Linked DNA regions of Arabidopsis thaliana. The protein of the gene in region 1 interacts with the protein of each later gene in a pairwise test. Each region holds a gene or a part of one and is shown in the gene's direction. Other genes may lie near its edges. The genes, in order: ACD32.1, HCF244 and AT2G24860.

The links.
Region 2: the proteins of ACD32.1 (region 1) and HCF244 interact in a two-hybrid assay, tested with the Arabidopsis thaliana proteins (one large-scale study listed by BioGRID).
Region 3: the proteins of ACD32.1 (region 1) and AT2G24860 interact in a two-hybrid assay, tested with the Arabidopsis thaliana proteins (one large-scale study listed by BioGRID).

The regions. Positions count from the first base shown.
Region 1 is NC_003070.9:1,965,981-1,973,259, reverse strand, and holds ACD32.1 (alpha-crystallin domain 32.1), read left to right. Parts: upstream 1-3,603; 5' UTR 3,604-3,845; coding exon 3,846-3,950; exon of another isoform or gene 3,951-4,353; coding exon 4,354-4,476; intron 4,477-4,631; coding exon 4,632-4,748; intron 4,749-4,838; coding exon 4,839-5,034; intron 5,035-5,281; coding exon 5,282-5,396; intron 5,397-5,492; coding exon 5,493-5,657; intron 5,658-5,915; coding exon 5,916-5,952; 3' UTR 5,953-6,173; downstream 6,174-7,279. Other genes in the region: AT1G06470 (Nucleotide/sugar transporter family protein), read right to left, coding at 1-37, 463-549, 688-872, 981-993, 1,129-1,229, 1,370-1,437, 1,539-1,588, 1,697-1,782 and 2 more; AT1G06450 (Polynucleotidyl transferase, ribonuclease H-like superfamily protein), read right to left, coding at 6,254-7,279.
Region 2 is NC_003075.7:16,767,957-16,775,235, reverse strand, and holds HCF244 (NAD(P)-binding Rossmann-fold superfamily protein), read left to right. Parts: upstream 1-1,779; 5' UTR 1,780-1,966; coding exon 1,967-2,353; intron 2,354-2,441; coding exon 2,442-2,540; intron 2,541-2,712; coding exon 2,713-2,907; intron 2,908-3,028; coding exon 3,029-3,121; intron 3,122-3,215; coding exon 3,216-3,311; intron 3,312-3,403; coding exon 3,404-3,544; intron 3,545-3,658; coding exon 3,659-3,835; 3' UTR 3,836-4,163; downstream 4,164-7,279. Other genes in the region: IDH1 (isocitrate dehydrogenase 1), read left to right, coding at 289-367, 468-742. UniProt on the Arabidopsis thaliana protein: Auxiliary factor required, together with HCF173, for the biogenesis of photosystem II (PSII), especially for the synthesis of the reaction center proteins (e.g.
Region 3 is NC_003071.7:10,585,171-10,592,449, reverse strand, and holds AT2G24860 (DnaJ/Hsp40 cysteine-rich domain superfamily protein), read left to right. Parts: upstream 1-4,033; 5' UTR 4,034-4,209; coding exon 4,210-4,416; intron 4,417-5,002; coding exon 5,003-5,152; intron 5,153-5,254; coding exon 5,255-5,332; 3' UTR 5,333-5,807; downstream 5,808-7,279. Other genes in the region: AT2G24880 (Plant self-incompatibility protein S1 family), read left to right, coding at 1,588-1,896; AT2G24870 (Plant self-incompatibility protein S1 family), read left to right, coding at 2,876-2,902, 3,650-3,790.

The DNA.
Region 1 (7,279 bases):
GCCACGTAAATTCGTCATGGAAGTAAAACACTGCAACCTGTTTTGCACAGAGTCAAAGAACAACACAATGAAGATTTTACATCCCCAAATATATCAGCAGCAGCACTGATACAAAATTCTTCTGGAGGCAGGGACATGTAGTTTAAGCAAATTCTATAGTGAATGAGAAGCCAGTTCTAAAGACACTAGTTCTGTTTTATCGAGTATGTCTATTAAGAGGCCAGACATGAACTCATAATCCATTCTAGAAAGCAAACTCCAAACAGGTGTGTCTATTTATATGGCATATGACCAATATAATCTCACCATCTTAAGATATCAGTCCCTTGTCTAGAACATCACCGCAAGGTTTCAATCAAATATAGTTCAGACTTTCTAGCTTAAGAATACGAGGAAAGTAGAACTTACAAGCTAGACCTCATCAGTTAGATATTCCAAAAAGTTTATGAATATAGGACATACCACTATGGTGACAGCCTCTTTGACAACTCCCGCTATTGTGACGGTTACAGCACTAGTTACGGAAACAAGGACATACTCTGTCAAAACCTGAAAGAAAATATTAAATAGTGAGCATGGAAGACTGATCACATACGAAACTAGAGTTTCATAAGATGCTTCAACCTCCACCTATCAAAACAAGTTCACTCTTACATAAGGTTTGTAAATTGTTTAGTAAATGCTCACCATACAAAAAGCCAGTGCTCCGCCAAAAAGCATCAAAAAACAAGTTCGAGCAAAATGTGCTCCACTATCAAAGTATTTGTTGTCTCTAAATTCACTCCATGGATCCAGAAGGAGAGAAAGAAGACCAGTCGCTATAGCCATCACTGGTGCCACACAGCTCATGAATATGAATGGATTTTTCAGTCCTAGATAAACAAAACAAAAACAAGTATAAATTTATTTCTAGGTCTTGTGACTTATAAGAAACTAAGAAAGACAATTATAGATTTGAAAACACCAAGAGCAGAACCCACCAAATGTTTCTTTCTACACATCATGTTGTCGTCAGAATGGAGCAAAACATCGGAAGACAAAAACCACAAAAAGTAAAGGTAAAGAGTTAATATATAAAGATCCAATGTATGGTTTAACAGAAATTAAAAACTGAGTTAAAGAATATACCTGCAAAAGAACTTGCGTCATACACCAGCGGAAACCAGACATGACAGCAGCAAGCATGACAAAAACGAAACCCCAAAACTCAAATTCTGTCTCCTTTGCAACTGATGGTGAGAAAATAACAAGTTTAATGGCTTTGATTTAGGAAAAAAAATTCAACTAAAAACTTCTAGATAGATTTTGTAGCAAACAGGTCCAGGAACAACGGAGTACAAAGCAATATAAATGACAAAGAAAAACATACCTGTTAACAACACTCCTGCTGAGATCACTGAAATAATGCCAAAAAGTTTCAGGCTTGGAGACTCCAGCCTAACCAGCGAAATATTGTGTCAGGATAACACATGGAGTACAAAAAATTGTAAAGCACAAATCAGGATAAAATAAACAATTAATCGTTATGTATAAAGCACCTGAAGGCAAAAGCAAACAGAAGAAGAAATATTGGGGCTGCAGATTTGCACTGCAAGTGGAAAAAACACATGCATATCATTAGACAAGTCTCACCTTGTTTCACCCGCAAATTCCAAAGAAGTTGCATAGACCTACCATAGTATATAAAATAACTAACCATTGTTGCAAATGTAACCGATATGAAGACAAGTGACTCGTTACTTAGGTTTATATCCATAGCAGTTCCAAGCGCTGTTGGTACAACTGCGAAAGGACAGGCCATGTGGGTAATCAGTTTATGGAAATATAATATATTCAACTTTCGAAAAACTGAAACAGAAAAAACACACTAAATCTTCCCCTCTCGTCCTCACTAAATACTGTAGATGATAATTGCATTGCATAAATTGCAGAAAGTTCTCAGTACTATGTAGTGAGAATAAAGTAGAAAGTAATGGCTAAAGGAATGCCCTGGTTTTGTTAGTTTACCTCTAACGAAATAGTCTCTCCATGATATGGTAACATCAGGCTGAAATCTCCCCGACCAATACCATGTTATCATCTTTGATAAAACAGCTTGAATAGAAAAGTGAATGGTATTCATTAATAAGGGAGCAGGAAATTTCCCTAAATCATCTCCTAAGAGAGTTTTGTTGTACCTAGAAAATAAGCAAGTAAATTAAATGCTAGTTGTATGGAATTAAAAGAAGAAAAAGAAAATGTTAGTCGCAAAGACATACTTACAGAGTCAGAAATGTGCTGAAAGTGTACCATACAAGTATAAAGAAGAGTGTTTTAAGCACGTCAGCAGGAGAGATATCTACTTTTGACGCTTTAGGCAATGTTTCAAGGGTATCACCGGAACTGTAACCAACATCAAAACTTCTGGAGCCGTTTGTCTCCTTCCCGGTCTCATTTTCAATACCAAAAGTCTCTAAAACCTGTTCTCTATCTACATCTCCCTCATTGGATATGGTTTCCATTGTACCAACACGGAGCTGCACTCTTTGCTCCATCAATAATCTGAACTCACCAGCAAACCTTTTCGGCTTCCATTCACAGACAACTGTGACAAAGCATGCAATCTAGTAATCCAGCCTTTCTTTACTCAACAGGTATTTAAAAAAACACGAGTACCCCTGTAATGGACAGCTCTCTTGCCTCGGAATTTCAAGGAAGAAAGTTTTATATTTGACCCATACGCATATGTTCAAATGGTACAGTGTCCAATTCTCTCTGGCATATCCCAGTGGGCTAATTGAATTAGGAACCTAAGATGTTGGTGAATATGCAATGCAGTTCTCTGGAACTACTTGACCTAGAATCACAAACACAAGCTCAAGTAAGTCAAGTATTTCTGTGAGAAATTCCTCTGGAGAAAGTGGAAAGCAAAGCAAACAATCACACAAGAGCCACATTTCAATAAAGGCAAGCTTCTCTAATACGCCGATGCAAAGATTCAAACCGAATGAAAGGAAGCTACATTTAATCTGATAAGAACCAAAAGAGTTCACCGACAGAAGAAATTGAATACATAAACCATTCTTTAACAGGGCCGCTTCAAGAAGAGATTAATACGTCACTATTGGAACCTAGAAAAAGCAAACACGTAAAAAGAAGGAAATCTATTCGAATGAATCTGAGTTTCACGAAATCAGATGTAATCCAAATCAGGAAAAGCTCAATGATTCTGAGCTCAAAAAAAGTAACGCAACAACGAAAAGAGAACTCCTCGCAATCAATCTGGATCGGGAGTGAGCTCAAAATTCATAGATTCAAAGCTAACGAACGCGGACTATGAAATCAGCATAATACAGATAGGGAAAATCAAAATTTCGCCAGAATGGAAGAAAGAGACCTACAAAGAGAGAAGAATCGGCTCGTTGGATCTGATCGAAGCTGCAGGAACTTTGTGTGTGTGTTTGAAGATAGATTGATTTTGGAGTCGCAACCGCAGGTTGTTGGAGTTTGGTGAATTTTTACGAAATCATTACCGCTCGGAGTCTGCAATGCAACTTGCATTTACCTTTACACAGATTATATTTGTTTTCACAAGAATTAATAATTTTCATTTTTAATGGAGTTCGCGTTTTGACAAAAAAAATATTGAACCAAAAAAGAAAAATGTTTTCCAATAAAAACGAGTCGTTGTCATTTCTTGTCCGTTTCCGGAAGAAAATATCTTTTAATCTTCAAGCAGATATTTTCGAATCCAGCGCGCGAAGTTAAAGCCACTCATTTGTTTCATCGATCCTACTTCCTCCTGTGTCACTGCAATCACTCGCTCGTCCTTTTCTCTATTTCTTCACCGATCGAATCAATCAGAGATGGAGCATGAATCTATCACCGCTCGACGCAGGCTCGCTGCCTTCGCCGCTCACTTCCCGGCAACCAGTTACGATTCCGCCTCCACCGCATCTCTCGTCCCCTTGGTATTCCCCTTCTCTTTTTGTCTCTCGTTTCCTTATCTGCAAGCCTAGACCCCAAGGATCCGACGGTTTTCGAATTAGACTTTCTGTATTTCGTTCTCCTATGGTTTCTTAACTTGGTTAGATAGTTTTTCTGATCCCTTGACCGATCTCGAATCTCGATGTGGATTTACTTGCAAAATTGGAGCAGATCGACCAAGTACAAGAACAGTTAGTCTGATTCATTTTGGCTTAAACCTTGATTTCGTTTAAGGGTGTTGCAATGGAAAGCTCAAACTGTTCAATTATTGAAAGTCATATCATGCTTATGGATGTGTTTTTTTATACTTGACTCTGCCTCAAATAGGTTGGTTCACTGATTCCTTTATTTTGGTCTAATGGATCTCTTATTTGTGTTATGCCTCAGAACTGCAGCAGCAGTTTGAACACTGTCATCCAAAGGTGTGACAACAAAATCTCTTTTGCCCGGCAAGCATCATCTGAACAGGGCTTTTTTATGAGGCCAGCTTCACCCGATGATGTCCTTGAGGTACCATAAGTTTTTTATTATGTTTTGAAGTCCCTCCTCCTTCTTCTCTGGTCACTTACTGTCTAACTACACTTAGTTAACAAAGTCATATCTGTACTGTAATGTAAATATGCCCACACCATTAACCTCTTCTGTCACTTGTGATGATGATTCAGAACTTAGGTATGAATTTGAAGAACACTGTCGTTAGAAGGGGTGACAACAGGCTGTATTTTGCTCGGCAAGCATCTTCTGCACAAGGTTTTTTTATGAGACAGGCTTCGACTAATGAGGTACCATTAATTTCTTATTATTATTTTTCAAAGTTTCTCTTCTCATCTATACTTCTGTAAAAGAGAATTGATTCAAAATGTTTTTTGCAGAGGACCATACCACATGATGCTGCTGCATCTACCAAGTTTTCTGCTACCAAAACAACTGGCTTCGATTCTTCTTCACCTGCGTACGCTGCACCACACTTTTCTAAGCCTGCAAAAGAGGACATCTTTTTTCCTTCTTTATCACCAAATCTGCAAAAGGAAAGGCCTAAGCTTGATCTTCCTAAGTTAGCCAATTTAGGTACGAATACAAATATAGGTGTATTCCACTCCAATAACACTACTTTTCTAGTCCTATTATAACCTGATACTTTTCTTAGAGAACTTAATGATTTCTGTAGTTTACAAACACACAAATATTACTAGGTATAACTACTAAAGGTGGTTTCTCACCAGCCTTGATCTACAGAAACTAGCATCCGTACTTCAAACAAATCCGTACAAATGAACATGAGAACTTACTTAAAGAAGTTTTTTTCCTTTTGCAGGTACTGTTTGGTCTCCCAGATCGAATGTTGCTGAATCGACACACAGCTATGTTGTGGCAATAGAGCTACCAGGAGCCAGTATCAATGATATAAGAGTGGAGGTTGACAACACAAAGTAATCCTGCTGATACACATCTTTTTTCAATCTGTTCCCATTACTCACACAGTAAAAATGCATTGTGTAACAAAGGTACTTACCGTTCTGCTGCAGCTTGACTGTGACAGGTAGACGCACATCTATCTGTCAAAAAGTTGATGCAGGCACCAAAGCTTCGATCCTTGGATATCATAAGCAAGAAATACTACAAGGACCATTCAAAGTTTCCTGGCCACTCCCCAGCAATGTGAACAAGGATAATGTTTCCGCTGAATTTATGTAAGTAGAAGCTATACTTACTAACAATCTAACCGTATGATCAAACAACTATTCTCCTTAAATCTTTCAATCCTAGAGTTCATATGATAGATTCTGCCTGTAGGTTTTAGCTAGTAGTGCACACCTAAAAAGTAGTCGTTTTAGAATCCAATTTTACATCTTAGTGCCAGTCAGTCATTAGCTTGAATTAGTTTAGATAGAATTTAGCAAGTTTTATAAAGAGCACTAACATCCAATTTATTATTGCGTTTGAAACAGGGATGGGATTCTGAGAATAGTAATTCCAAAGCTTTGAGGGTTCATCGTTCTGAAACCATATATAGATACGGTAAACATTGTGTGTGATATAGCAGTTTGTGTGGAAAAGAAAAATATCAAATCATGAAGAAAGTTTGGTCTTTTATGTAAAATAGTTTGGTCTTTTATATATCACAGATTGTAGACAGGCATTACTCAAAGTGAAGCCATGTAAACAATCCATAAATATATAAAAATAAAATCTTCATTACTACTACCAAAAGCCAGAAAAGAAAAAGAAAAAAAAAAGAAAAAAGCTCAGAAGCATCTAATCATCCTAAAGCTGGGGAAATCTCAATCTACTCAACTACGTAGCAAGCATTATTGTTGTAATAATTAGGAACTGGTCCAAGATAATCAACAGTAGCAGATGGCGTCTGAGACGGGTATGCAAAAGTGCTTGCAGGTAGATGAGTAAGCTGCACATACGTACCGGTAGCATTACAGAACGCCCATGGGGCACCTGAAGGATCGTAGGAGACAAGCTGAGGCTGCTCATAGTTCTGGACATATCCATTGTGGAACACAGGATATGAAGCTACATTCTGCTGGCACATCAAAGGAAGAGTCGGCTCTGGCACAGGCGCAGGGGCAGGGGCGGCAACGAGGTTGCTTTTCCCAATTCCATAGATCAATCCTCTAGCAAATCTGGAATCTTCATAGACATGTTTAAGCTTGATGAAGACAAGTGCAGTCATTAAGCTGTCTGAACCAGCGTGATGTGCTCTTCCCACACGAGTGATCTGAAGTAGCTGGGCTAGTTTGCTTAACCCGAGGTGTTCACCTAGTCCTTCACAGAATCCAGCCATGACCTTGGTGTCGTAAACTTGACCGAACACTTTGACAACCTCTGTTGCAAACTCGCCGTGAGTCTCTGGTAGCTTGCCATGATTGAGGATACTCAAGAAGTAAGCGAAATCGTAAGCTCCTTGGAAAGTGACGAACTCAACGTGTTTCTGAGAACGAAACACAGTCATAAGCTTAGGGAAAAACCCGTAGCCGAACATATCAACTCCTTCGTCTCTAATCTTCTGCAAATCCAAACCATGCCTCCTCAAGAATTCGATGGAAAGCTCGTTGCGTGTGTCTGATGGGTCGCCGAAATTGGAGAAGTTAATCTCCCAAACACCACCGATCTCTCCCTTGGCGTTGAAAAGAGTGAAACCACACTGGATCAGCTTGGTGTTCTCGACATTACCTTTCATGGCTCTGTAACATTCGTCGCTAGAGGAATCGAAATAAGTGCGGAAAATAATGCCAGGGTACTCTGTATCGAAAGCGATGAGTGGGAATCGCTTGAGACATTCGGCCATACGAGCCATCTC
Region 2 (7,279 bases), on another chromosome or scaffold:
TCATATTATCTTATTGGTATGAGACTGATGTTGTGTTGCCATATACTATAGTTAATCGCCCCATTTGCATACTATTTAATCTCGTCATTTGCATATCATGCTTTCAGGGAATCTTTTAAATTGTACTTCTGTGACCTTGTCTATGTATACTTACTACTTTGCATACACTATTGTTCGTTAGAGCAGTAACTTCACTGTTGCTAAGTATTAACCTTTCATTACTGTATGTAGTAGCGTCTTTTGGCTTTTCCCCCCTTTTATAACAGCAATTTATGAAATGTTTTGCAGGTAACGCCGAATCTCTATGGGAATTTAGTTGCAAACACTGCTGCTGGTATTGCTGGAGGCACAGGAGTCATGCCTGGAGGTAAAAAAACATCCTGTATTGATATTCTCTCGAGCTATACATTAGTGGATAAAGAATAGTTCTAAAATTTATACATCTGCGACATTAAATACAAAAACAGGAAATGTTGGGGCTGACCATGCGGTATTCGAGCAAGGTGCATCAGCAGGAAATGTTGGGAAAGACAAGATAGTATTGGAAAACAAAGCAAACCCAGTGGCATTGCTTCTCTCATCAGCGATGATGCTTAGACACCTTCAGTTTCCTTCATTTGCTGACCGGCTCGAAACAGCAGTGAAGAAAGTCATCGCTGAAGGAAAGTGCCGGACGAAAGATCTTGGTGGAACAAGCACGACTCAAGAGGTCGTTGATGCGGTCATTGCAAAACTAGACTGACTTTGACAAATTACGTGTTCCCGCTCTGCATAAATCATCAAATTCCTGATACAGATTTTGTGTTGCCAAAATATGGGGTATGATCCAAGCACAACGGTTATCTGGTTTTGTACCTCGAGTTTTATTATATTCTTTAGCCGTGGAATATTTCGATAAGAAAAAAAAACATGTTCCAAATAATTCATGTTGCTACGTTTGTTGGCGCCTTTTGTCATGTCAAAGTTTCTTAAACACTTGTTCGTGGAATATGCAAACTTTTATGGATTCGTAATTTCAAGAATATGAATGAAAAATTGATGGTATCTTTGATCACCTCGAATGGTGGTTTCTTAAGAGCATCCACATTGGTTAATTTTTGATGGATGTTTTTAAATATAAAACTTTATTTTAAGAGGTTTTTGAGTAGTTAAGAAACTCTAACGTGTCATTGTGTGTGTGGTTGAACATTGTGACAACATCATTTATTTATTTTTCTTTTCGCGTTTTTCTCTCTTTTTTAGTCCATATGATTTTTAATATATATATCATATTTGTTTAAAATTTTAATATTTGTATTATTTATTAAGTTTTATAAAATAAAATATAAATAATTTTTATTTTAATAATAATATATTTTTTTAAAAGACCCACTTAAACATTAGACCAAAAAAAATTAATGGTCCAACAAAAACACTTTAATTTTTTATAATTTAAAATTTTAAAAAACCCTTTTAAGGGCTCAACCATTGGGGTTGCTCTTACTCCAAGTCTTTAATTTAATTTGTGAATTAACATTGACTAATTTTAAAATCACTTGAAATTGTTTCATCGGATTTGGGATGTCACATTTGGTACCCGGCAAGTTCGAAAATGACTTTTAAACTTTGACACCTCTTGCCTCTTGGTAGAGTTTTGGATGAGGCTTGAAACTTTTGTATTGCAGCCCATAACTGAAAATAGTTTATTAGTATAATATATCTTCTCAACAAACATTGCAAATATTTTGAAAATCCAGCTAAAACTATACCCGATCAGAATTAGAAAATTTGAGCCCAAGCCCGGCCCGTAAGTATTATTATAGAAACCGATATAAAGTTTCCTTTTTCTTAATAATATTTATTCCGTGGCAGCAAATGCAAGCCAATCCAATGTCAAAACACCAGCTGACGTGGCCAAACGCACATCAACTGTCGTCTCTCTATCTCTCTCTCCCTCACTTGTCTCTCTCTCTTCTCTTCGACACTGATGGCTTCGCTCAGGCTCCCCGCTCAACTAGTTACACGTGGCAATCTCATCCACCACAACTCTTCATCCTCCTCCTCCGGGCGTCTGTCTTGGCGACGTTCTCTCACACCGGAAAATACAATCCCGCTCTTCCCATCTTCCTCATCCTCATCCCTTAACCGGGAACGATCAATAGTAGTTCCGGTTACATGCAGTGCTGCAGCGGTTAATCTTGCTCCGGGGACACCAGTCCGACCCACGAGCATCTTGGTGGTTGGAGCCACTGGAACTTTGGGAAGACAAATCGTCCGGAGAGCTTTAGATGAAGGGTATGATGTTAGGTGTTTGGTCCGACCAAGACCAGCTCCCGCCGATTTCCTCCGTGATTGGGGCGCCACCGTAGTCAATGTACGTATTCACATCTTCCTTTAAAGTTACTCAAAGTATTTAAATTTGTCCAAAAGAGAACTAAAACCGGAGTTTTGTGTGGTCTTAGGCGGATCTTAGTAAACCGGAGACAATTCCGGCGACTTTGGTCGGGATTCACACTGTAATTGATTGTGCCACGGGACGTCCTGAAGAACCTATCAAGACGGTAAGCTTCTAAATTATATCTTTTTGTTAAAGACTCAATCTTTAGCCTAGTGAGACTTATTAAAGTTTGATTGGCTTGTGTGTCTAATACTCAGTTTCATGCCTTGGCTTGTACGTTTGAGTGTTGGATTCAGTTTTCCAATGTGATTGAAAGTTATGTGTGTTCGGTTTAGGTAGATTGGGAAGGAAAAGTTGCTCTGATACAATGTGCAAAGGCAATGGGGATTCAGAAATACGTCTTTTACTCAATCCACAATTGCGATAAGCATCCTGAGGTTCCTCTCATGGAGATTAAGTACTGCACTGAGAAGTTTCTTCAGGAATCTGGTTTAAACCACATCACCATTCGGTTATGTGGTTTCATGCAAGTAAGCCTCATTCCCCTGAACTTATGCGTCTAGTTGTCCCTGAAAGTGAGTACATGATGTTGAATGTGGTAATGGCTGATTGTTGTTTAATCCAGAGTATACTATGCCTATGGCTATGCAGGGTCTTATTGGTCAATATGCAGTTCCAATTCTGGAGGAGAAATCGGTTTGGGGAACAGATGCACCAACGCGTGTTGCTTACATGGACACACAGGTGAGTAATCAAATGAAGATGTACTCCATTTCTCTGTGTAATATGTGGATGAAACACATAAAATGATCTAAACATGTTCCTCATGCTATAACAGGATATTGCTAGGCTGACACTTATAGCTTTACGTAATGAGAAGATCAATGGAAAACTTCTGACTTTCGCTGGCCCTCGTGCATGGACAACACAAGAAGTAAGCAAGGCTATAGTTACCGCTCTTTTGAATGAAAGGAATAGAGAAATATTACTAAAGCATAACCTTTTACTACCCTTTTGTCAATTCAGGTGATAACACTATGTGAGAGACTTGCTGGGCAAGATGCAAATGTCACAACCGTTCCAGTTTCTGTATTGAGAGTCACGCGTCAGTTAACTCGGTTCTTTCAATGGACAAATGATGTCGCGGATAGACTGGCCTTCTCAGAGGTAAGATTTGGCCTTCATCACCAAACAATGATGCTTTTGTAGTTTGTTTCATAGTAGCTTTTCAGATCAGCTGAAATCATGCTTCTAACATATGTGTGACACTGGTACGTTTAGGTTCTCTCGAGTGACACGGTCTTCTCTGCTCCGATGACTGAGACTAATAGTCTACTAGGTGTGGATCAGAAGGATATGGTGACTCTAGAGAAGTACTTGCAGGATTACTTCAGCAACATATTGAAGAAACTAAAGGATCTAAAGGCACAATCCAAGCAATCAGACATCTACTTCTGAGTTTCTGACCTTGTAGTGTCTTCATAAGATTCAACACTATTTATAAACTGCATTTGCAACCATACTGTGAGATTCGTTGTTGCTCTGTTCTTCAATGGTTATTGTGCTTCTTCTTGTAATTAAAGAGAATTATTGTAATGTAAATGTAGCTTGAGGTGCCCAGAGAGATTCTTTGTTACCTTGAGGAGAAACCAACAGGTAAAAAAAGATAATGAGATTCCCTTACAAAACCATCTCTGTTTGACTTTTGTTCGAGGCTAGGGCTGTGAGCTTCTTGTTACAGTGTTTTCTTCACCTTAAAGTCTTCTTCTCATTCATTGGTTCTTGTTAATGTGAATAAAAGTGAGAAAGCTTTTGGCAAATGAATAGTAAGATGAAATAAATGCAAGTGTTAGTCTCAATGTAACTTTAGAACCTAACAAGTGGAACAAGATCATTCATTATCTATGGTTGAAATTTGCTACCACTTTTTGAAGAATCGAACAACTGCACCAAAATCCGTAAGTCGTGAGTCTATTACTACCCATTTAAGAATCCACAATGCTCAAAACAATGATCCATTGGATATCCAACTCCTTATCTCGACCAGCAAATTCACTTTTAAGATCAGAAGTAATAAGTGTTTGCAAAAGGTGTTGTTTGAGTTGTTAAATCAGTATCTTAAAATAAAATCTTTTTTTCTTTGCCCGAATATTATTTCGATCTAACTAATTTGTAGACACATACTAAGATAAACAACACATAGGGATAGTACGTACGATCATGTTTAAAAAATCAAAACCTGAAAAGGAATTATAAAGAGGAGAAAAAAATGTGGAATCTAATCATAGGGTTAGGTCGTTGATTATCATTTAGGTTGTCTTGTCTATGTCTTTTCGTATTATATTTTCATTGATTTTATTCCATTGATGTAGTACTAGTATTAAAAGTAATGAAAGAAGAAATAACATGAAACCTCGAAACCACATTCACATTCTGTGTTCTCCCCTAATTGTTCTGGCCTACCTAGACAGCGACCCCGATGCTTAACCAAAGACAATCGATCCGTTTTATGAATAAAAATTAGTTACATTTTTTTACACATTATTTTCTAATTAATACCAAAAAAAAAGTCCACGACTACATAAACTAAGTCCATATAGAGTTAAAAAAAATACTAGGTATGCATTATTGATATATCTCACTTCACTAATGCCAAATTGCCAAAGGTACACGTTTGTTCTGTTTAAAACTTTTCAGATCATTTTGATTTGTTTCTCAACTTGAAAGTCGATCGTAGGAGGAAAAATAATCTCAATAATAGAGGAGTAAATGAATAAAAAAAAATAAACATAGACACATGGAAATATATAAGTGGCATGATGACCAAAGTGATCTCCATCCAACTACAAAACTTTAGTGGCAGAGAAAGAAGATAAAATCCAATGAATTAATGCTCTTCACAATCAGATCAGACCAGTCTTTATTTTTCTTTACTATATATACTTTCTTGTTAATTGGTATTTAGATATTGGGAGGGACAGTTGCTTTCTGTTGGATATTCTCTTTTCCTTTTGACATGGCTTTCGCATAAATATTTAACCTTTTCCATAATTATTGTGATTTTATAAACTGAATTCTATATAATTCATGAAACCAATTTTTTATATTCAAATAATAAGTATTAAAACGATACTTATTGTTTTAGAAATAGAAGAGTTTAAATAATTTTAACACAAAAAGCAAAGTCGTTCACTCCAAAAAAACAATTAAGCAGAGTCTGCAAAGCTTATGAGAAGAACTCTGGTTCCAAGGAGGAACAAGAAGAAAGTCAAAGCGATTCTTTCGAGTTGAAATCTCTGCTTCTTTCTTTTTTTGTCCTTTACAGGAAAAAACGAAGCTTTTCTATTCGTTGGCTTCACGAGAATATACTCTTTGGTTTTAGGACCCTTTGTTAAATATTTTTCTTTTACTGTAATTAACTAATTGTATCGATTTTAGTAATTTATTTGTTTTTCCTTGACCATTATTTTTTGAAGTTATGTCGTATAATATTCACAAGAATACTGGGAATTTTATAATGTAGGCTTTGCCATGTGATCTATAGCGGCATTAATTAGTTTAAAGATTCATATACTGATATACCTAGAGGCTAGATTTGCAAATTTATTTTATGAGAAACATATAAGTGGGTTAGTGGTCACACCTTTGTAGTTTCTCTATCAAATCTAAAGCTTGAACTTTTGTCTAATCAACCTAAAGAAATTTGTTATTAAAAATCAAAAGTTACCTCAAAATATCTCATCCACTACTGTCATATATAGAAGGAGAGTTTCTTGCAGTGCGGATCACAACAAGCCACCCAAAACATTCGCAGCAATGGAAACATTTCCCTTATAATTCACAACACTTGGATTTTCTCTTTTTCCTTATTAAAGGTTTCTATCGAAAACACACGACACCTCAAAGTCATACATAGCACATGATGGTTTGGTTGAACCACCAGACAAATAAATATATCAACTCAGAAGAAGAAGAAAAAACTTATTTCGATTAAAAAGGAACAGTGTATCAAAAACCCAAAATTTCCTTAATTAAGTACTTGTATGTACTGCATGCATAACATGACTAAAAAATTACTGTACCCTCCCTAAGACTATATAGTATTAATACAAGTATTAATACTATATACACACATAATTAATACTATATACACACATAATTAAATATGAAGCTAAGTGAAAAAAAGCATGTGTATAGTGAACCTTTTTACGCCAGTGAAATGTGTCACCTGTCGTCGCCCAATTATTCTGTGCCGAATTTTCTCCTTCTTTCAACCCTTTCTTCTGTGTTCTCTTTATTCCTCCTATAAACCCTAAATTCAATCCCCTTGCATTAATGACCATCGCATTAATAACCATAAATATATCTTACTCACCAGTACTTTATTCCAAATTCACCACTAAACAGCAGAGGAATAAAATAGTTGTATGGATTATACTAGTTTTAGATTTGTTTCTGTATGCGTTAATAATGCATAACATTATCTATCACTGGCATATACGATTGCGTTAAGTATAGATAAATGATCAGAACTTATCAGTATTTGCCCAAAAAAAAAAAAAAAAAAAACTTATCAGTCTATAATGGAGTTGTATTCTACTGATTTGCATATGAAATCGTGACATTTGAATAAGTACTTCCTTAAATTGAACCGTTATCTTAACAATAGGTAATATATCATGCAGATACTTTGCTCTTAAATTGGCAGAAGAACTCAACTTTTTACCAGCGTTAATTTTTTAGAAAATTTATATATGTATTCTCTATGGCTCAGTTTAATACATCAACGTTTTACTAATTTTGGCCACAACTTACATTACATAATTCGTGTGTACATATGTAAACTGGAAACCAAATGAATATCAGCAGCTTAACACAACACTTAGAATCTCCGGAATGGGT
Region 3 (7,279 bases), on another chromosome or scaffold:
TACTTCGCCGTTTTGTTATGACTCATATATTTTTGACGTAAGTCAGCCGCAACATACCGTAACTCAGCCGGCTGAGTTCATTTAATCCACGTCAGCAAATTCTGACGTGGCAGTGGCATTCCCTGTAATTACGTTTTTTCCGGTAACGTTTAGTAGGGGCACGCTGGGTAATAAAAAAAACTCGAAAATATAACAGTAATTAAAAAAAGTTCTGTCGTGTTCTGGTAATAACACCTAATTTCTTACCCATCACAGTTAATCTCCCATTTAATTTTTTACCAGACTACATTTACGTTTGAGTTTTGTTACCTATTGTATTTGGATTTTCATTTTTATGCTTCCTTCAATTATTGTAACACTAATTGTTATTCAATTCTATAGAGGTCAACTGAATCGCTTTAAGAGTTAAGTTTTGATTACTTGAAGACTGTTGACTATATGGTGTGGCAAATACAACATGATTACTACCGGAGCTTCACCTAGTCAACAGTCTCCACTTTTGGACCTACAGATGCACTATCTCCGGATAGAAAGCTTCTCCACTCTTGGACCGACAGATGCACCATCTCCGGGTAGAAAGCTTTTACTGGACTGTATTTGTGACCTTAAGGTTCTTTTGCTCAACCCCAATTTTAGTACGTAACCTAACCTCAAAATTGGCCTTACTTTTCGACGATATTTAGCTCAACTCTGATCTGCCATTCATTACCTTGCAGCTGTCGAACTATCACCAACATTCAATCTTGCAAAAGGGAATTAGGGTTGCACATAGTGGGATAATTGTTCAACTTTGGTCCATCGTTAAAGCTTTGGCCCAATACTAAAAGTAATGGATTCTTTTTCCAAAAAGAAAAACACAGGTTTGTTATTTTATCTTTATGTTGTTTGTTTGCTTGTCGTTGGATTCTTCTGGATTTCACGACCAAACGCAGCCAGTAATAGTTGATAATAGCTGATAATTCTATCGATTGAAAATTGTAATCGTTGGTGACAATTGATATAATTAGTCACCAAACTAACAACATGCAAACAAACAATTTTGGTCGCTATTGCTGGTTGATCAGGTCCATAGGGATGAGACATGATCATGACCAATATGGGATGGGGACTTGGTTACCATTTCATATTTTTGACACCCGTTATTACAAGAACACATGCACAAACCTTATTTAATTTGTCTTTATATGCTTTGCTGTTTATAGTATTTGACAACTTGTGTATTACTTTTAAAGTAAGATTTTTAAAACAAATACTTTATTACTTAATAGGTTACATTGATAGTATGATATGATTTATAAATTAATAGGGTAATTATTGAAGATTTGCTTATGCACAATTGGTTACTTTAGTTATCATTTGATCTTCCACATAAGTTTTAGTATTATCTGCAACTCGTTACTTGACCTTACCATTTTCTTAATAATTAAATGTTAATAAATTCATGTATATCTAATATGATTATTATAAGATATTATGTGCCATTTTAGATACTATGCCAACAATAGTAATACAAATGTGTGCATATATAAAATCTGAAACACAAAAGCCAATAACAAAGAAAAACATCTAAATATCTATCCAAAATAAATGAAAAACTTTTCAATCTTTCTATTCGTGTTTAGTCTTTGCATGTTTGACCATGTATCCAGCTCTGGATTCAAGATCACGAACGAACTCAAATCCAATAAACTTCTTCGGATTGGATGTTATTCCAAAGATGACATATTCGGTCCAAAAACAATACCAATAGGACAACATGTTGAAATCAATTTTACTATTAATTTTTGGCATACAACACGTTTTATGTGTAATTTGGAACAAGGACCTAACTATAAACATTATCAGAAATTTACAGCATACAAGGTTTCCGGTTTTATGGTTGAGGAAGGCATATAGGACTAGAGAGCAAGAGAAGATGGAATCTATTTAGACAAAGAAAGCGGCAAACATATTGGAAAATCGATTAATTTGCATAAAATGTATGATTGGTTAAATTATGTTTAACAATCTACCTAAGAACAAAAAATATTTTATCTTATCATCTTGAAACAAGAAAATTTACCATTCTTCTTTTCCTTCTTCCCCTTTTCTTCTAGTTTTTATCATTCAAAAGCAATCTCATAATATTTGGTTTTAATACATTTCACAAACCATCTCTAATAACAAAATTCAAATTTCTTGAAATCCCAATTGTAATCATAAAAACTAGTCACAATGGCTATTACGAGAGGCTATTTAAAGGACAATTTCGATTATAAATCCAAAATGTAATTCAAATCCGAATTGTAATCATAAGAAATCCTAATTGTAATCAAAATTTTATCCAAAATCTATCCGTTTCACCCAAAATCAAAGAAAAAAGGATCAAACCATCAAATCTAATATGAAATAAAATCCTAATTAAATACAACACAATCAATAGAATGAAACCTTAAATAAAATCCTAATTAAACACAACACAATCAATAGAGTGAATTAAAATCTTAATTAAACACAACACAACATAATGGTTGGATCGTAAATAAGTGAAAACCCCTTGTTTTATTTGTCTTTTACTATTTTTTGGAGAAAAAAAACTAGATAAACATATTTTTTTTTTTATAATGGGAGCTAAATAGAGAATGTTTTAACCCGAGAGGCCCGAGTAGATTAAAATCCGAATTCAACCTTTTCGGCCAAGAAGAAGAAGAAGGAAATGGCGATTTGCATGTGTTGCGATTCACATCTTGTAAAAAAATCGATTATGAATCCATGGAATTTGCGGAGTAGAACGAAACTAGGGTTTGTACTGGTCGTTTGCCGTTTTCCGACTACTACTACTTTCAAGGCTTCGGCGGTGGATTCACCTGAGAGTTCTTTAAATTTCACCAAGCATATGGATCAAGCTTGGATAATCTCACAGGTTCGTATCTTTCGAGAGTTGTTGAGTTTGTTGAATTTGAGTAATCACAAGAACGTTATTACAAGAACAAAATGTATAAACCTAATTTAGTTTGTCTTTCTCTACTTAGTTGTTTATTGTACTTTACAAATTGTCTATTACTTTTAAAAACAAATACTTTATTTACTAATAGGTTACATAGATAGTATGATATGATTTATAGAATAACCAGTTTATTATTGAGGATTTTTTTATGCACAATTGAATTTCTTAGTTATCATTTGATCTTTCACATAAGGTTTAATATTATCTACAACTGGTTACTTGATTTTATCATTTTTTTCATAATTCAATATTAATAGATTTATGTATATCTAATATGATTATTATAAGATATTATGCCATTTTACATACTATGCCAACAATAGTAATACAAATGTGTGCATATATAAAATCTGAAACACAAAAGCCAATAACAAAGCAAAAATCTAAATATCTACCCAAAAAAAATGAAAAACTGTTTAGTCTTTTTTATTCGTTTTTAGTTTTTGCATGCTTGACCATGTATTCGGCTCTGGAATCAGGATCACCAACGAACTCAAATTCAATAAACTTCTCAGGATTGGATGTTATTCCAAAGATGACAAATTTGGTCCAAAAACAATACCAATCGGCAAACATGTTGAAATCAATTTTATGATTAATTTTTGGCGTACGACGCGTTTTATGTGTCATTTGGAACAAGGACCTAACTATAAACATTATCAGAAATTTACAGCATTCAAGCTTTCTGGTTTTATGGATGAAGGAGGTATATGGGACTGGAGAGCAAGAGAAGATGGAATCTATTTAGACAAAGAAGGCGGCAAACATATTGGAAAATCGATTAATATGCATAAAAGTGTATGATTGGTTAAATTAAAAATATTTAACAATCTATGTAAGAACAAAAAAAAATGTTATATTATCATCTTAAAACTAGTAAATTTATACATAGAAAAAAATTATTTTCTCAATCATATAAGCAAACCAAAAACAAACAAGCAATCTGGATTTTGTTTTGACTGTAGGAAGAATCCAAGGAATTGTAGAGGAGATAATGAGTTGGTTTAAATCATTGAATCAATCATTTTAGCAAACAAAAAGATCCAACTTTAATGGGCCCAGGGTCCAATAACCCAATTGGGTTATTCCTAGACTTTTCTCCTCCTCCTGTTGTCTTCCAATTTGGTATGCGAGAAAAATAAAATAAAATAAAAATAAGCCAAAGACAAATTTAAACCTCCGATTTCAACCTTCTCGGCGAAGAAGAAGAAGAAGAAGAGAAAATGACGATTTGCATGTGTTGCGATTCACATCTCGTAGCGAAATCGATTCTAAATCCATGGAATTCTCCTAGGATAACGAAGCTAGGTTTCGTACCAGTCGTTCGCCGTTTTCCAGCTACTACTACCGTCAAGGCTTCGGCGGTGGATTCACCTGAGAGTTCTTCAAATTTCGCCAAGCGTATGGATCAAGCTTGGATTATCTCACAGGTTCGTATCTCCAGAGAGTTGTTGATGTGTATAATTTTGTTGAATCTGAGTAATCACAAGAACTGATCCTTGATGTAGTCATGTACGAGTGAAGAGCTATATGCAATTTTGTATGAGATTAAGAACTTGGATCTGTGATGAAATGTTGTAAATTTCAGATTATGAGGTGAATAGTATCAGCAAGTTTCAAAAGGATTTGTATCGAAAATCTGTAATTGCAAAGTACCTTTTAGTTGGTTTCTAGCAAAAAATGTTTGTTCACAATTCATTTGATTTGTGCATATGATGAGAACATGTTAGCTACTTAATCAGGTTGTAGCTGTTCTCTATGATCCCTGAGTGATGAGGCTTAAGCAGGCTTATCTCGCAACGCAATGTAGTTTTGTAGCTTTGCATGTACAATTGTTGGATTCTCTGCTTTTTCTCTAATATTGCTCTTAGAGAATCTATCAAAAGTTCAGACTTTGAAGCCTTTCTTCTAGCACTTGCAATTTGATATTGAGCTCGTGTGAATTTTCTAGATGTTACTTGTTGACCTGTGTTTCGATTCAATGATTTTCTTTGTCTGTTTTTTTCTTCACTGCAGCAACCAAGTCCTGTTGGATGTTCATCGTGCAATTCAAAGGGTCATGTGGAATGCAAATGGTGTGCGGGTACAGGATTCTTCATCCTTGGTGATAACATGCTTTGCCAGGTTCCCTCAAGGAATACTTCATGTGTAATCTGCTCTGGACAGGTTTGTTATCTAATAAAAACGAAAGTGCAGACACATTATTGTGTCTTCTTGTTTATATATCTTCCCAAGTATGAACAAATTCGATTCTTTCAATGGTTTTAGGGTTCTGCTAGCTGTAGCGATTGCAAAGGAACGGGGTTTCGTGCCAAGTGGTTGGAAAAACCTCCAGTGCCAACATAACTGATGAACAAAAGCAAGTTAAGCTTTTTGGTCTTTGATGATTTCTTATGGAGGAAAAATGTTTATATATTGATTCAAGTGGAACATGAATCAGATATGCATATATCTTTATACATGTGTTAAGTATATATATGTAAGTTCATTTATTCATTTCCCCTTGTTCTGTCTGTACAACCAAAGGCCTACACAAGAGTTCTTGTAATCGACACGTGAGTTTTACGATTTCGATCATTGGAGTAGCTCAACGGAAGAACATTAGTAGCACAGGGTCACCTTCGTATTTCTTTTGATATTTTCTCGTTGTAGGGTTAAATCATGTGCATCTTCCTTACCCTTGATGAATCTGGATATGGCGTTTCTCTAATAGAATTGCGATTATCATCATCTTAGATACAGTTTGTGCCTAACAAATCCAACCTAAGCTAGTTACTTAATCATTTTCTTTTGGGGAAGTGAAAATGGCATTTGATTTCAGGATAATTCTTAACCAAAGCTGCTAAGTGAAGAACTTGTGTCAGTGTGCATTCCATTTCCCAAGTGATGAGGAAATCTTCAAAAGTGTTCATGTCTAGAGTGTAAGAGGGCACTCGAACACAGTGGTTCGCCGTTTCCTCCATTATATATACCTCTACTTTGCCCCTTTTAGTTTTACTTGTCACAAAACTTTCCAGATACATATTTACTGCACAAAAACTAAATTATTTTGAGTAAAAATTACCAACGCACCAGCAGGTTATTTTTTTTTATTTTTTTTACGGTGTATTGAAGAAAATTTCAAAACTACATAATCGTAAATAAGAGTTTTATTAAATTTTACACAATTAGATGCATTTTTTCATCTGATCCAACTTTCTATATCTCTTCTTTTTTGTGAAACTGTATTTTTAGAAAAATAATGTGTTTTTGACGGAAAATTTGGTGGATTGATTTGGGTTAACCCCTTTTGACACCCCTTAGTTCCACTAATAGTTTTTTTATCCTACACATAAATTTCTATAAACTTTTGTAATCAGATATAGTCACATACATATGGTAGTAAGAATTAACTAATAGGCTATATCTGAAAATGGAAAATGGAAACCGTCTTTTTAATAATGAGCTCAACAAGAGGATTTTCTAGATGCTTGATATAATCGAAATATTGAATACACCTAATGGCTTCAGAAAATATAATATTGTTTCTAGTTCTCATAATGTATGTTCTTGGAAGCCCAAAAAGAAAATTAAAAAAGATCTTCTCCATGATCTCCTCTTTAATTATTGTAAATGAGGTATTATACGCGCAATGTCATTCACGACGCACGCATAACCATTTGACTCTTTGATTGCGTTATACTTAACATTAAGCTATAGTTAAATGTTTAGTTTCGAGTGTTTTGATTGGATAATTTTAATTTGCTTGGTTCCTGTTCGGATTAGTTTGTGTGTTTTTAACCTTTATAGATTGTGTTATATACCTTTTAATCTCTTAAATAAAGCAAACAAAAAACAGTAATAATACATAATGGTTAGTTATTCGGGTAATAAACAAAAATATGTGACATTTGAGTCAATAAGAACCAGCCACTGCCCGCAGACCACAGCAAGTCTTTTGTTTTTGTTTTTTTTTGGGTCAAAAATATTAGTTAAGTCTATTCACGTTTTATTTAAGTTATAAAGAACAAATAATTGGAAAAAGGTAGTGTTTCACGAGATCGAATATTTTCTTGTTTTTTGTGCAAGTCTGTAATCAGACTAAAATATCATTAATTTCATCGTATGTTCTTAAAGTATTAAAATATTGATCGTAGCATGTGGAAAATGTTGATTATTATTCTTATTTTAAGGTCTTCATTTTTTGTAGTCTTGCGACGACCCTTGACTTTAAATCCTTTATAAAGGCCTCGACTAAAATGAGATGTACCAACAACACAAAACTTGTACTCACAACTAAAAGAAGAACTCAAA